3 linked regions of the Caenorhabditis elegans genome follow. The protein of the gene in region 1 purifies or fractionates together with the protein of each later gene. This does not show direct contact. Each region holds a gene or a part of one and is shown in the gene's direction. Other genes may lie near its edges. The genes, in order: comp-1, C17H11.5 and B0228.9.

Region 1 (3,757 bases):
CTTCGAAATTGGATAACACACTGAAATAAATACATATAAAATGTTTAATGTTTTTTTTTTCATTTTTCTTAAATGTATGGGATAACCTAATCAAGCCCATACACTGGTTTCTGAATTAATAAAGTCTTCCCAGATAGGATCATATTAAAGATAAAATTATTTTCAAATTAACAATAAAAATAATTGCTCAAACTTTAGCTTTGCATTTTACAGAGACGTGACGTAGGCACAAGGTATTTAGCGGGAACGAGGAGGGCGAATAAAGAGGCGGCCTTGATTGGACCATGTCATCTGCTCAGTTACCATAAAAGTCATACCATAAAATTGTAGATTTACACATTTAACTTGTGTTATTGGCACTTGCACATCCTAGACGAAATTTGCTATGTGTGTTATTTGAGAAAATACTTTTTTTTTTGGAAAACTAAAAACATCTTGATCAAAGTTTACAAATCATAAATTAGAAGTGATTAAATATTATCAAATGCTCTTGGAAACCAACTTGGAAACAATAACAAAAAGAGATTTTACAAATATGTGTTCCAGAACATTCTTGATGAAGTTAGGAAGTTGAATAATTTATCTAAAAATAAAAAATATGATAGAAGTTACGTCATAGAAATATGTAAGTTTGCTCGTTTATCTTATAGGATTGACACTTTGAGAATGCAAAAAAGACGCAAAAAAGGGAAATTTGGTTAGAAAATAGTTGTTTGTCTCTCCTTTGGATTTATTTGAAACTAAAAAAAAGGAAATTAGTGCTCACGGAGCCAATACAAACATTGCAACAAAAAAGAGGGACTGGTTTGAACGAAACATGGATAGGAGTCAAAATTTTAGTACTCAGCAAAAAAACACCTGCCGAGCCTTACCGACTTAGTTCTCGCCAGAGTCGGCAAGCTGGCAATTTTTTGAAATTTCTACAGAAATAAAAAAAAAATTTAAGGTAGAGTAGTGCCAGTAGGAACTTTGCCTAGATACGCTTATAATAAATACTCCAGTGAGCTACCCAAATCACTTGGATTATTTTTTTGAAGTTTCAACTGAAAAAAGTAGTCATTCATGTGAAGATATATTCCGAGAATAGCCTCTTTCATCAACATTTTTTCAAATCTTTGAATCTTTTGAATTTTTCCCTTGAGACAATTCAAAGTATCCAACAACAACAAAAAATTGAGAAAAAAGAGAAGAATAAAAACGAATGGCGATAACCCTACAAATGATAAATCTTTCTATTTTTTCTTAAAATGAACAAAACAATAAGGACACCACACCACACGGAAAACGAGCCAATGGACGAGCAATTCAATAATCCCAGTTCCTCGCCTAGCTTTCCAAAAAGACTTTGCACAACCAAAATTCTCTGAGAATTATACTTTTTTGTTACTTTAAAGGAATTTCAACAAGAGGGACCACTTTTTGAAAGCACCGCTAGGAGCTTGTAAACTCATAAATTTTATGTGTCGTACTGGAAAAAAACGAGAAAAACTGACGGGAGAGGGCGACTAAAGGAAAACTAGAAAATGTTATTTTGGCATTTGAAAGAAAAGTGTGTTTCTTATTTCAGATGATGTGAAGTGCAATAAGGAAAGGGATTCTGTATTTTAATTGTAAATTTGTTTCATAAATTATATATATATATATTGTAGTTTTGTATACACCTCCAGTTAAAACGAACCAATTGATTTCCTGTTAAAAATTAATATTTAAAAGCACTCATGAGATACGTAATATATGCTTTAACTCTGTACTATACTTTTTTTATTTTTTATTTTTTACTGTCTGGTCGTCTGAATAAACATAAATTATAACGGAAATAGCAGTTTTAAAATAAAGAATGCAAAAATTATTCTTCTTACACGGAATAATATTCCTAACTTTTGAAATCTGCGCAGATACGCAACGCAGTTGTAAATAATATTTTCATTGAATGATTCAATGTATGACTCATTGTGAAAACAATTATAATTACACGTGAACTGTACTTTCCCAATTATTAAAAACCATAGGTTAATCTATCCAGAGTCTCCAAAATAATTTATTCCATACATTTGGCAAAACACTATTTTGATCTCAAGGATCATCTATCGAATCAAAGCAATGACGTTGGTCGAATCGAAACACGATTTTGAGATGACGGAGAAGTCGATGGAAAATGATGACGATATTAAGGATGCCATTTTTAACAATGTTCCCATCACTTTCATTGAAGCTTTTGTGCTCAAAAATCCAGGTTCGTGAGGAAAATAGTTAAATTTGCAAAACGTTGTTTTTGAGACTATAAAGTAATATTTTAAAACGATTTAAAAACTTTTTAGGCGACTTCAGTATGTCGAAATCACTGGATGGTGCCTATTATCTTTCAATTGTTCCTGGAAATAATAAGATGAAAAAGGAAACTTCTCGTGCCATTCATCTTCGTATTGATCATTCTGAGTATGGAATACATTAAAAATAACAAAAGCTGAAAATATAGTTTCAGAAATGAATACGCTATTCAAGGAATGTTGTTTGCCCGTTCTCAGACACTTGAACAATTGGTCTATCATCTCAAGAATGACTTTGTAATTTTTTTTGTCTCGTTGAACGTTTTTTAATATGTCTGTTTCAGACCGACATTCTTGGTGGTGTACTGGATGAGAACATTTCAATGAACCGTCTTCTTGGACTTTCTTCGACAAATGTGCACAACATTTGCAAGACAGGAAAAAGAATCAAAGATAAGAAAATTCAATCGCAGGATTTCTTTCATTTGGTGAGAAAATCGAAAACTCGAATATGACTCGAATTTAAAAAAACAGTTGAAAGTTTGACAATTTTTTTAGAGAGACAGGTAACTCGGCTTTCTCAATTTCATTAATTTAAAGGTTTATACTGGAGAAATGAAGTTTGCGGATGGAAAGATCAAGAAAGCATTGTTCGAAGAACTTCATAACCCGACTATTTCAGACCTCAAAGTGTTCTATGAGGTTTGTTGAAAACTTTTCAAAGCTATTTTCCAAATTAAATCAAGTTCAGAATCTTGTCGAGGGAAAAGCATTGGCAGCGAGAAACCTTCCAATTCGTCTTCCAATTGGAGCTATTCTCAACCCACCAACATTGATTTATGAGTGAGATATTTAATGAGAGGATGAAAATTATAAATTTATTACAGGCATCAAGAAAATCAAGTTGGATGTTCATTGAAAGATTTCTTGAAGAACTTTGATACTCATTTGGATTTGGCACAAAGAATCAAGGTTTGACTTTTCAGAATTAGGACGAAACATAACAATTCGAACCTTCTTAAAAACAGTCTTATGTTGTTATACTTCAAAAGTCAAGACAAATTTCTGGGGCTTGAAATCTTTAATTTCGAAGGAATTTCTTGAATAGTCGTGATTTATTGAATATAAAACACCCACTGAATTTGACGTTTTCAGTTGTGCTCTGCTGCTGTCCGTATCTTATCGGAGCTTCATCGTTTTGATATCTATCATGGAGCTTCAAAAGTGGATAACTTTTATGTTTTGGGCTACAAAAATGAAAAAACAATGAACTATGAGTTGGTGTTCAATGGTGCTAGCGGATTGCTCTATGAAGGGTTTGTCATATAATTGAAAGTTGCGTAGTATTCCAAACAATTTTTCAGAAAATCGGATAACACTGTGACAATGGTTGATTATGATTCGAATGCTCCAGAAGTTGCCTTCACTCGTAAACTTTCAAAGGAAAGCGGCGTTTTCACTTTGGGACGTCTCTTCGAGCAAATTCTCGA
Region 2 (3,757 bases), on another chromosome or scaffold:
TCTCTTTGAATTGTTTTTCTAGTTAATTAAAATTTTTGTTGTTCCGCCATTCTGTTCTATTTTAACAAAATTATGTTAAATTGAAATTTTTTATTCTTGTGAGCTACATAAAATCGCAATGCCGCAGTTGAGTTCGCGTAACAAACTTGAAATGAGAATGCATTGAAAAATATATATAAAGTGTACCAAATCTAATTATTTACCCAACCCCTTCAAATTTTGAAGAGCGCGACGACGATGGGCTTCTTTTCACCGAAGAAGGTGCTGCGTTGCTGATCAATTCACCACCTGCAATGCGCAGCTCTGGAAGTGTGAATATCGATCCCATCGATTTATTCAAAATTCGTAGCTGGCTTGATAATATGAAGCAAATGGTAGCCACTGACGCACCTCAAGAGACACCTTATGAGTGAGTTGCGAAAATTTGAATGTTAAATGTTGTAGGAGGAAGTTTTCGAGAATAAGATGTTTGTGAAAAAAGTGTTATACTGAAATATGAAGTATTATAATCACAAATTTCGATCATTTCAAGCAACAGTTTTTTTAAAACGAATTTTAGCTATTGATTTTTTTGGATTTTAAACAAAAATATCAGAAATTCAGTAGATTTTATGTTGAAATGTGCAAAAAAACCTACAGGCGGAGTGTAATATTGATTTTTTAATGCGATCACTGTAAATGAATTTTGGAAAGGTAATATTTTTAAAAAACGTTTTTCGATTTAATTTGCAGTACTTTTCTTGTACATCATCTTCAAAATACATTTAGTGAAAGCAAGAGCAAAGGTGAAAATAAGTAAAAATGTTTAACTTGAACATTTTTTTCTCCGCTATTGCATTCTTTAGTCTAAAATTATTTGAAAGTGTTTCTAGACCTTCAACGCGACCAAGTAGCAAGCTCCGAAGATCAGGAAGCGGGAAGAGTGTGCATACAGTAGCCACGTTCCCAGTCAACCTCAACACCGGTAACACGGTGAACAGGCAGGGACTCTCGAATTTGTCGAAACCAGAAATTGTTCAAAATATGAGCAACGCTCCTTCGGAGGCTGGAATTACTGTCGCCGCGCCACGTAGCCCGACAGAACTTGAGGCGAACGGTGAGAATGCTGGCGATGACAGTGTGTCGACAAGTTCTTCATCCAGAAGTCAGAAAAAAAAGAAGCGACGTTTTGGAATATTCAGTAATTGGTTCAACAAAACGAAATAATAACATCGCGTTCTTTTTTTTCATTCTGTATAAAAAACATCACTCTATGTCATTTATGTTCCTTCCAGTTGTCTCAACGTGCTTCAACTAGTCATTTCTTCTCATAACCCTGCAATTTTCTCCCTTTCCCCATCTTTTCCATCTTTTCCATTCCAAATTTTCTCCTTATTGTCCAATAACAAAAACATCAACAACAACTCTATGCGGTATTTTTTTCGTACAGTACTTTTTCTCCCTCTTTACTGCTAGCCACGACGTGTGTTTATGTTGTGATTGCCAAAAAGTGTTTCAAAGTCAATCTCGTCAATTTCTCATGTTAACCTGTTTACACTTGTTTCAATTTTTCTTGTCTGACAGTATTGGAATCCAAATTCAAATACAAGTCATCATCTCTTCATTACATTCATTTTTTAATGTTCTCTATATTTTTTTGTAAAATATATTGATTTTAATTGAAAACTTAATTTTGTTTAGTTCTCTCTTAACAATGTTACAAGGTTTTCAGACTGTATAGGCAACGATGACTGGATTTGTTAAACTACTGACCGAAAAAGCAAAAATAGCTATGAGACATCTAAAAGAGTGCGATTTAGATGCACCATGCTGTAAGTTTTAGTATTCATGAACAAAAGTGGTTTTTCTGCATTCAAAACTATTTTTCAAAAAACGAAATCAATTATAATTCCAAAAAAAAAACAGTAAATGAAACATTCTACCTTTTTCAAAATGTTTTTTTTCATAATTTTTATTGGAAATTTCAATATTTTTGTACAAAGCAAACGTTATTTGTAAACACTTGAATAATGATCGCAATCGTTTGAAATTTATGGGCTTATTCAAGTAATGTAGCAAAATGTATTTAAATACATTTGTGACGTCACAAATGTATTTAAATACATGTTTTTATATACTTGAATACAGTTGTGACGTAATTTTTCTACACTTTTTAATTTTCCGACATTACTTGAATAACCCCATTAGAAGGAATGAAAATACTTGAAAAAATTCTTTCACGAGGTCAGTCCATTTTTTCCAAGTTTCAATAAAAAATGATGTTTTCTCATCCAAAAATAAATAATTTATCTACATTACATTTGAAAGACTGTAAAAAAATTCGAGGAAGTTCAAGAAAATTTGACCGAAAAACGCAAAAAAGCCCACATGGGAGGAATTTTATTTATTCATTTATTTATTCATATTTATCCTTATGATGAGTTTTTTGTTCATTTTCTATGTAACGGTTAGAAAATTGAAACATAAATTTAAATCGGCGGCAACGATATAACGCACTGAATTGGCCATCAATGAAAATTACACATTTTTACTGTTTTGTGTCTTCGCGTCGATCAGGATTCAGCGCGTAGTATCGTTGCCGCCAATTTAAATTTATTTTTCAATTTTTCAACCGTAGACTTAAAAAACAAACCAAAAAATGGGCGGAAATAGCCAACCGTCACGAAGTTCTAAAATAGGCCCCACCCCATGCGGGCTTTTTTCCGTTTATCAGTCAAGTTTTCTCGTACTTCCTCGAATTATTTAACTTCCCCTCATATTCTTTCTAATATGGCCGAAAACTAAAATTTAAGACAAATAACCTTCAATTGATAGGCTTCCTTTAGATACAAAATAAGTGCAATATAAGAACAATATAATTTGTTTTTCAAAAGAGCCGAAATAGTATGTCGCAAAGAGGTTTAACGGAAAACAATGTTTTGTTGGCAGAGTTTTGAGATCAAAAAGTGGAAAAAAACTGATAAAATAAAACAAAAGTTTCCTTGACCTAATAAAAAAGTTAAAAAATTTTTTGAAGTTCAATGAAGTTTAGAACAAAAGTCAATTTTAAGTTTTTATTGAGTCTACCTAAAAATTTTCGACATTTTTAGGTCGGTCCAAATTTTTTAAAGAAAAATCTCTCAATTCGAAACCTAGAGGAATTTGAAACATCAGATATATGAGATTTCTCTGTATGCTAGTATTTGTGATATTAGAAAAATACATTTGAAATACTTTCTTTAATACATAGTTTTTCTGGTTCAGTCTGCAGTCACCATCCAGCCGAGACATACGTCTTTCCTGATCAGTACACTCTCAACAAACTGATGAACGGTGAAGCTCCGCCAGGTCCCATACCACGAAATAAATTGAACGACTGGGTTGGAGTTCCTCCGGTATGCCCGGAAAACGATGATGGTGCTATTATGTGAATTGCAATGCCGTATCGTTATTTCATATTCTTAGTTTTCAGAGAATTTTCGGTTGCAATGGAAACCTGTAGATATGATTACATGACCATCAAGTATTGGCTCGACTACCAGAGGTCACCTAACATTTTGAACTATTGTTTTCTGAACTCTAGTTCATTTTCAGAATTTCCATTGCCGCAATGAAAGTGTACGATAGAATGAAACGAGAAAAATATAATCGACCATGTAACGTAGTAATACGGTTCATTTGCCGGGCTATCAGATTACTCTTTGGAATCGAGAACAAGAAGCGCTTTGATGGAGCTCCATTAATTCGAAAGGAAATCTAAACGATCATTTAAACACAT
Region 3 (3,757 bases), on another chromosome or scaffold:
ACAAGCTACGCAATGTATCTTTTGATTTATCATTCACCAACTCAAATGAAGGATATGAAACGGTGTTTAATAAACTTGGCATTTTGGTAAGAAAATCTGAATACTTCAAACCAATTTAATTCCAAATCACAGGACAAGAGCTATGGATTTGATGTATTCGTTTCTATTAATTCCTTATTTTTTCATTCCAACTCTGGTAGTGCTTCCAGTTGGATTATTTAGTTTAATTGGGTTGAAAACAGAAATTCAACTGGTAGTGCTTGTGATAATCATAGCAGGTGAATTGAAAATTAAGTAAAATAGTTGCGGCATATTGCCGAAAAAAGCTAAAACTAAGTTTTGCCCGAGTTTTGACAATTTTTGATCTAAGATAATATTCTTGGGTCAAGTTTGGTGAAGAAACTATAGCGCCAAATTTCGAGATTTCTTTTCTATTTTTCATTTCCATTTTTCAGCAACAAGTGTGAAACAAGTAGAAAAATTGTTTCAAAAATTAAACTCCATGATCTATAACGTTAAGGACTTTTCAGGTCTTGGTTCGGCAGTTGTGATGATTTTTGAAAATCGTTTCAATGCTATGTGTCCACCATATTTTCGTTTTAAAATGAATAAAAGACGAGAATACCATTGCATAATGTTTGTTATAAGTTTTTCACTACTTATATCTTCATTTTTGAGACTTGAAGATCAGAATTCGGCTAAAAATTCTTACGTCAATGTAAGATCGCTCATTTTGTAAAGTATCATTCAAGAATTTTAGTACTTTCTCTGTCCAATTCCGGAGTTTTTCACAACTGCATTTTCCTTTAAGCCGGTTTCAAATACAATGTTAATTACTACAGTCTTACTATTTTCTCTAGTGATTCTTATTCAAGTTATATTTTTCACAGGATTTAGTTTTTATTTTTTATTTTCAATTGAAAGAAGTAAAATGTCTTCAGCAACGAGAAAACTTCAACTTAAATTCTTTTATACGACGTGGCTACAGGTGACACTTTTCATTTTCTTTTGTCAATAGAAACTAGACAATCAAAATTTATTTTCAGATGTTAACTCATCTTGCTGTTATAATATTACCAATGGGATATACATTCTTCTCATTTCTACTCCTTTATAGAAACCAAGGTAAGCAAAGCTTTCAGATACTTACTTACTTATGATCACACCTTTCCGAACTTCTGAATCCTTCGTTAGGGTAGACCATAGTTCTATGTCCCGTTTGGCTGCGTCATTTTTAATAATCTATTTTCCCGAAGAACCATTCTAATTGTAAGATGAGTCGTTGGATGAGAAGGACTAAATTTTCAGTTTTGGTAAATATTTCCACAATAATTATCAGTCTCCATGGATCGATAACATCAATTTCAACAATAGCAATCAACCGCCCTTTTCGTAACAGATTCAAGATGTGGTTATTCCCGAAGAGATTCAAAAAGCGGAGAAGTAGTACGAACCTCAATGTTTTGGCTGTTTCCTCAAGCTGGCTGTAATATTTATTCCATTTTTTTAATGTTCATTTGTAAAAATGCAATTCTTTTCCTTCAATTCATATTGCAAATCGAAATCTAAACCTATATTTTAAATTAAAAACTTTAATCGAATCAGGAGAGCTCCATAAAAGCTCCGTTTCAATTTCCCTGTCAGTTTAAAATGAATATTCTTATATTCACACTTTTAATTTTGCTATAACATTTGAATTCGATGATTATGACTTGGACTGGTTTGATCCAATTGATCAAAACAATACAAGATCCTTTATGCAAAGTGTCACACCTCCACCAACTCAGCAAGGGAAACCTGATCCAACAAATTCTGACATGATGATGAAACGATTTCAAGAGGATATGGTTGGCATTCTTGATGGAAGAAGTCGTGCACATTTTGATGATTTAGCTAACTATTTCCATTCAAAAATTCGAATATGTACTTGTTTTGAGCCTGGCCGAAGCTTATCCGTTCCAGAGTTTCAACATGTATTGACATTTATCTCTGGTTACTATCAACATTTAACTGTAAGAATAGTTTCAGATTTATATGGAATTATTGGTTTTACAGGAAGTTAGATCGGACAGATGGACAGATCATCCAAACTATATAAATGGAATTTTTACGTATACAGCAATGGGTTCAGACAGGAAAAACTCAGATGGGAAGTGGACCTACGAAGCTTCAATGGATTGGAATCAGAATAAATTTTTGATTGAATACATTTGGTTTCCTTACAATTGTTCTGTATTTCCTGTAAAAGATCCATCAGAGCCGTTGGAGGATGTTGATAACTATTTAGAACGAGTTCGAACAAAGTGAGCGTTCGTATTGAAAGTTCAAATTTTAAAGCTGAACATTTTTAGATTATCAAGCGGATTATTCTTACCTGATGGAGTTGATCAAACTTTGCAAAACTTTGAAGAATTTGGGGATTGGATAACAGATGATGCGATTATTGTAGTTTGTGATGAACAAAAAATGGATAAAAGTACGTTGTAGAGACAACGAAATAATTAAGTTCACTTTATTTTGCAGATGAGTTTATAAAATATATGAGTACTAGATATCATCATATTCGAAAATATTCGGTAAATTTTCAACTTTCAGTTTAATTTTCATTTAAGATTACTATTCAGAACAATCAATTTGATCATGTAAAAAATAATCAAGATTTTGAAATAACTTTCTCTACGACTTGGACAGCAGACAATACTACACAATTCCGGGACACATATATTTTCCGGGTTAAAAAGGTAAATTTATTAATGCTTTCCGACACTTTAATACATGAATTTTCAGGCAGAAGATTATTTCCCGGAAAATGATCGTTTGTACCTTCTATGGAAAATTTACTGGGTTACAAAGAGATGCACTGTAGATGTGACACAGTACCCTGCAGTTCTAGATGGATCTGTCATACTGGGAGAAGTGAATAAAAGATTTTGTGGAATGATTGATGGTGAAAATTGGGATGTGTATCAATCATTCTTGGACCTATTTGATCCAAATGATACTAAATGGGGCTCTTGTGTTGGAAAAAGAGAGCAGAAATATGGTTTGCTGACAACTGAAAGTTATTTTTAAATGCAAGAAATTCAGATAAAATCCGTGAATACATGAATAAAGTGGTTGCAAGGTATGCAAAATGTGTAGTCTCTGAAGTTAGAATTCGTAACCTCGTGCATGCTGATTTCTCAACAACGTTTCTTCTCAGTCGAGCAAATGAAATTCAGGAGCAAGAGGAGTTGGATGTGGGATTTGTTGGATACAAGAATAAAAATGGACATTGGAAAATTAATCGAATGTATTTTGAATGTGAAGAGAGCAAAAAGAGAAAGTTTATGGATAATCTTTTAAATGTTCGTCTTAAATGTTGACATAATTTTTTTTATTAATAAATGTTGGAATATATTCAGAGATTCCAAAAATTAATGAAGTAAAAAGAAGGCAGATTAAAAATTGGTTATCAAGTACTAAACATTTTTTCTGCGATTTTTGTTTTCATAAAATACATTGCTTAATTAGAAAATGTGTACTTTTAGAAAAACCTCAAAAGTTTTAGAACTGACGTATTCTAAAATCTCAAAATCAGTCTTTCAGTCATTTGAAAAATGCCTTTATTTCCGATATGAACTGTTTTATTCGTATAGTTTTGAGACGTCATATTTTTAAGTCTGACAAGCATCACAACATGAATAAATTAAATTAAATTAATCGGTTTTTCAAATTTTGTCATTGATATCAATGTATTCTTTATTCAGCAACAAAA

The links.
Region 2: the proteins of comp-1 (region 1) and C17H11.5 fractionate together in Caenorhabditis elegans (co-fractionation; one large-scale study listed by BioGRID). This does not show direct contact.
Region 3: the proteins of comp-1 (region 1) and B0228.9 fractionate together in Caenorhabditis elegans (co-fractionation; one large-scale study listed by BioGRID). This does not show direct contact.

Annotation. Positions count from the first base shown.
Region 1 is NC_003279.8:6,429,869-6,433,625, reverse strand, and holds the start of comp-1 (Protein kinase domain-containing protein), read left to right. Parts: upstream 1-2,039; 5' UTR 2,040-2,100; coding exon 2,101-2,233; intron 2,234-2,318; coding exon 2,319-2,436; intron 2,437-2,482; coding exon 2,483-2,564; intron 2,565-2,611; coding exon 2,612-2,755; intron 2,756-2,867; coding exon 2,868-2,969; intron 2,970-3,018; coding exon 3,019-3,110; intron 3,111-3,154; coding exon 3,155-3,239; intron 3,240-3,422; coding exon 3,423-3,583; intron 3,584-3,631; coding exon 3,632-3,757.
Region 2 is NC_003284.9:8,183,086-8,186,842, reverse strand, and holds the start of C17H11.5 (Phage protein), read left to right. Parts: upstream 1-1,709; 5' UTR 1,710-1,726; coding exon 1,727-1,811; intron 1,812-3,243; coding exon 3,244-3,406; intron 3,407-3,451; coding exon 3,452-3,523; intron 3,524-3,573; coding exon 3,574-3,739; 3' UTR 3,740-3,757. Other genes in the region: C17H11.6 (RBR-type E3 ubiquitin transferase), read left to right, coding at 226-409, 873-1,206.
Region 3 is NC_003280.10:7,761,670-7,765,426, reverse strand, and holds B0228.9 (uncharacterized protein), read left to right. Parts: upstream 1-1,757; coding exon 1,758-2,012; intron 2,013-2,055; coding exon 2,056-2,303; intron 2,304-2,351; coding exon 2,352-2,476; intron 2,477-2,523; coding exon 2,524-2,576; intron 2,577-2,624; coding exon 2,625-2,741; intron 2,742-2,787; coding exon 2,788-3,043; intron 3,044-3,087; coding exon 3,088-3,365; downstream 3,366-3,757. Other genes in the region: srh-39 (Serpentine Receptor, class H), read left to right, coding at 1-86, 133-278, 531-718, 761-988, 1,047-1,125, 1,309-1,490.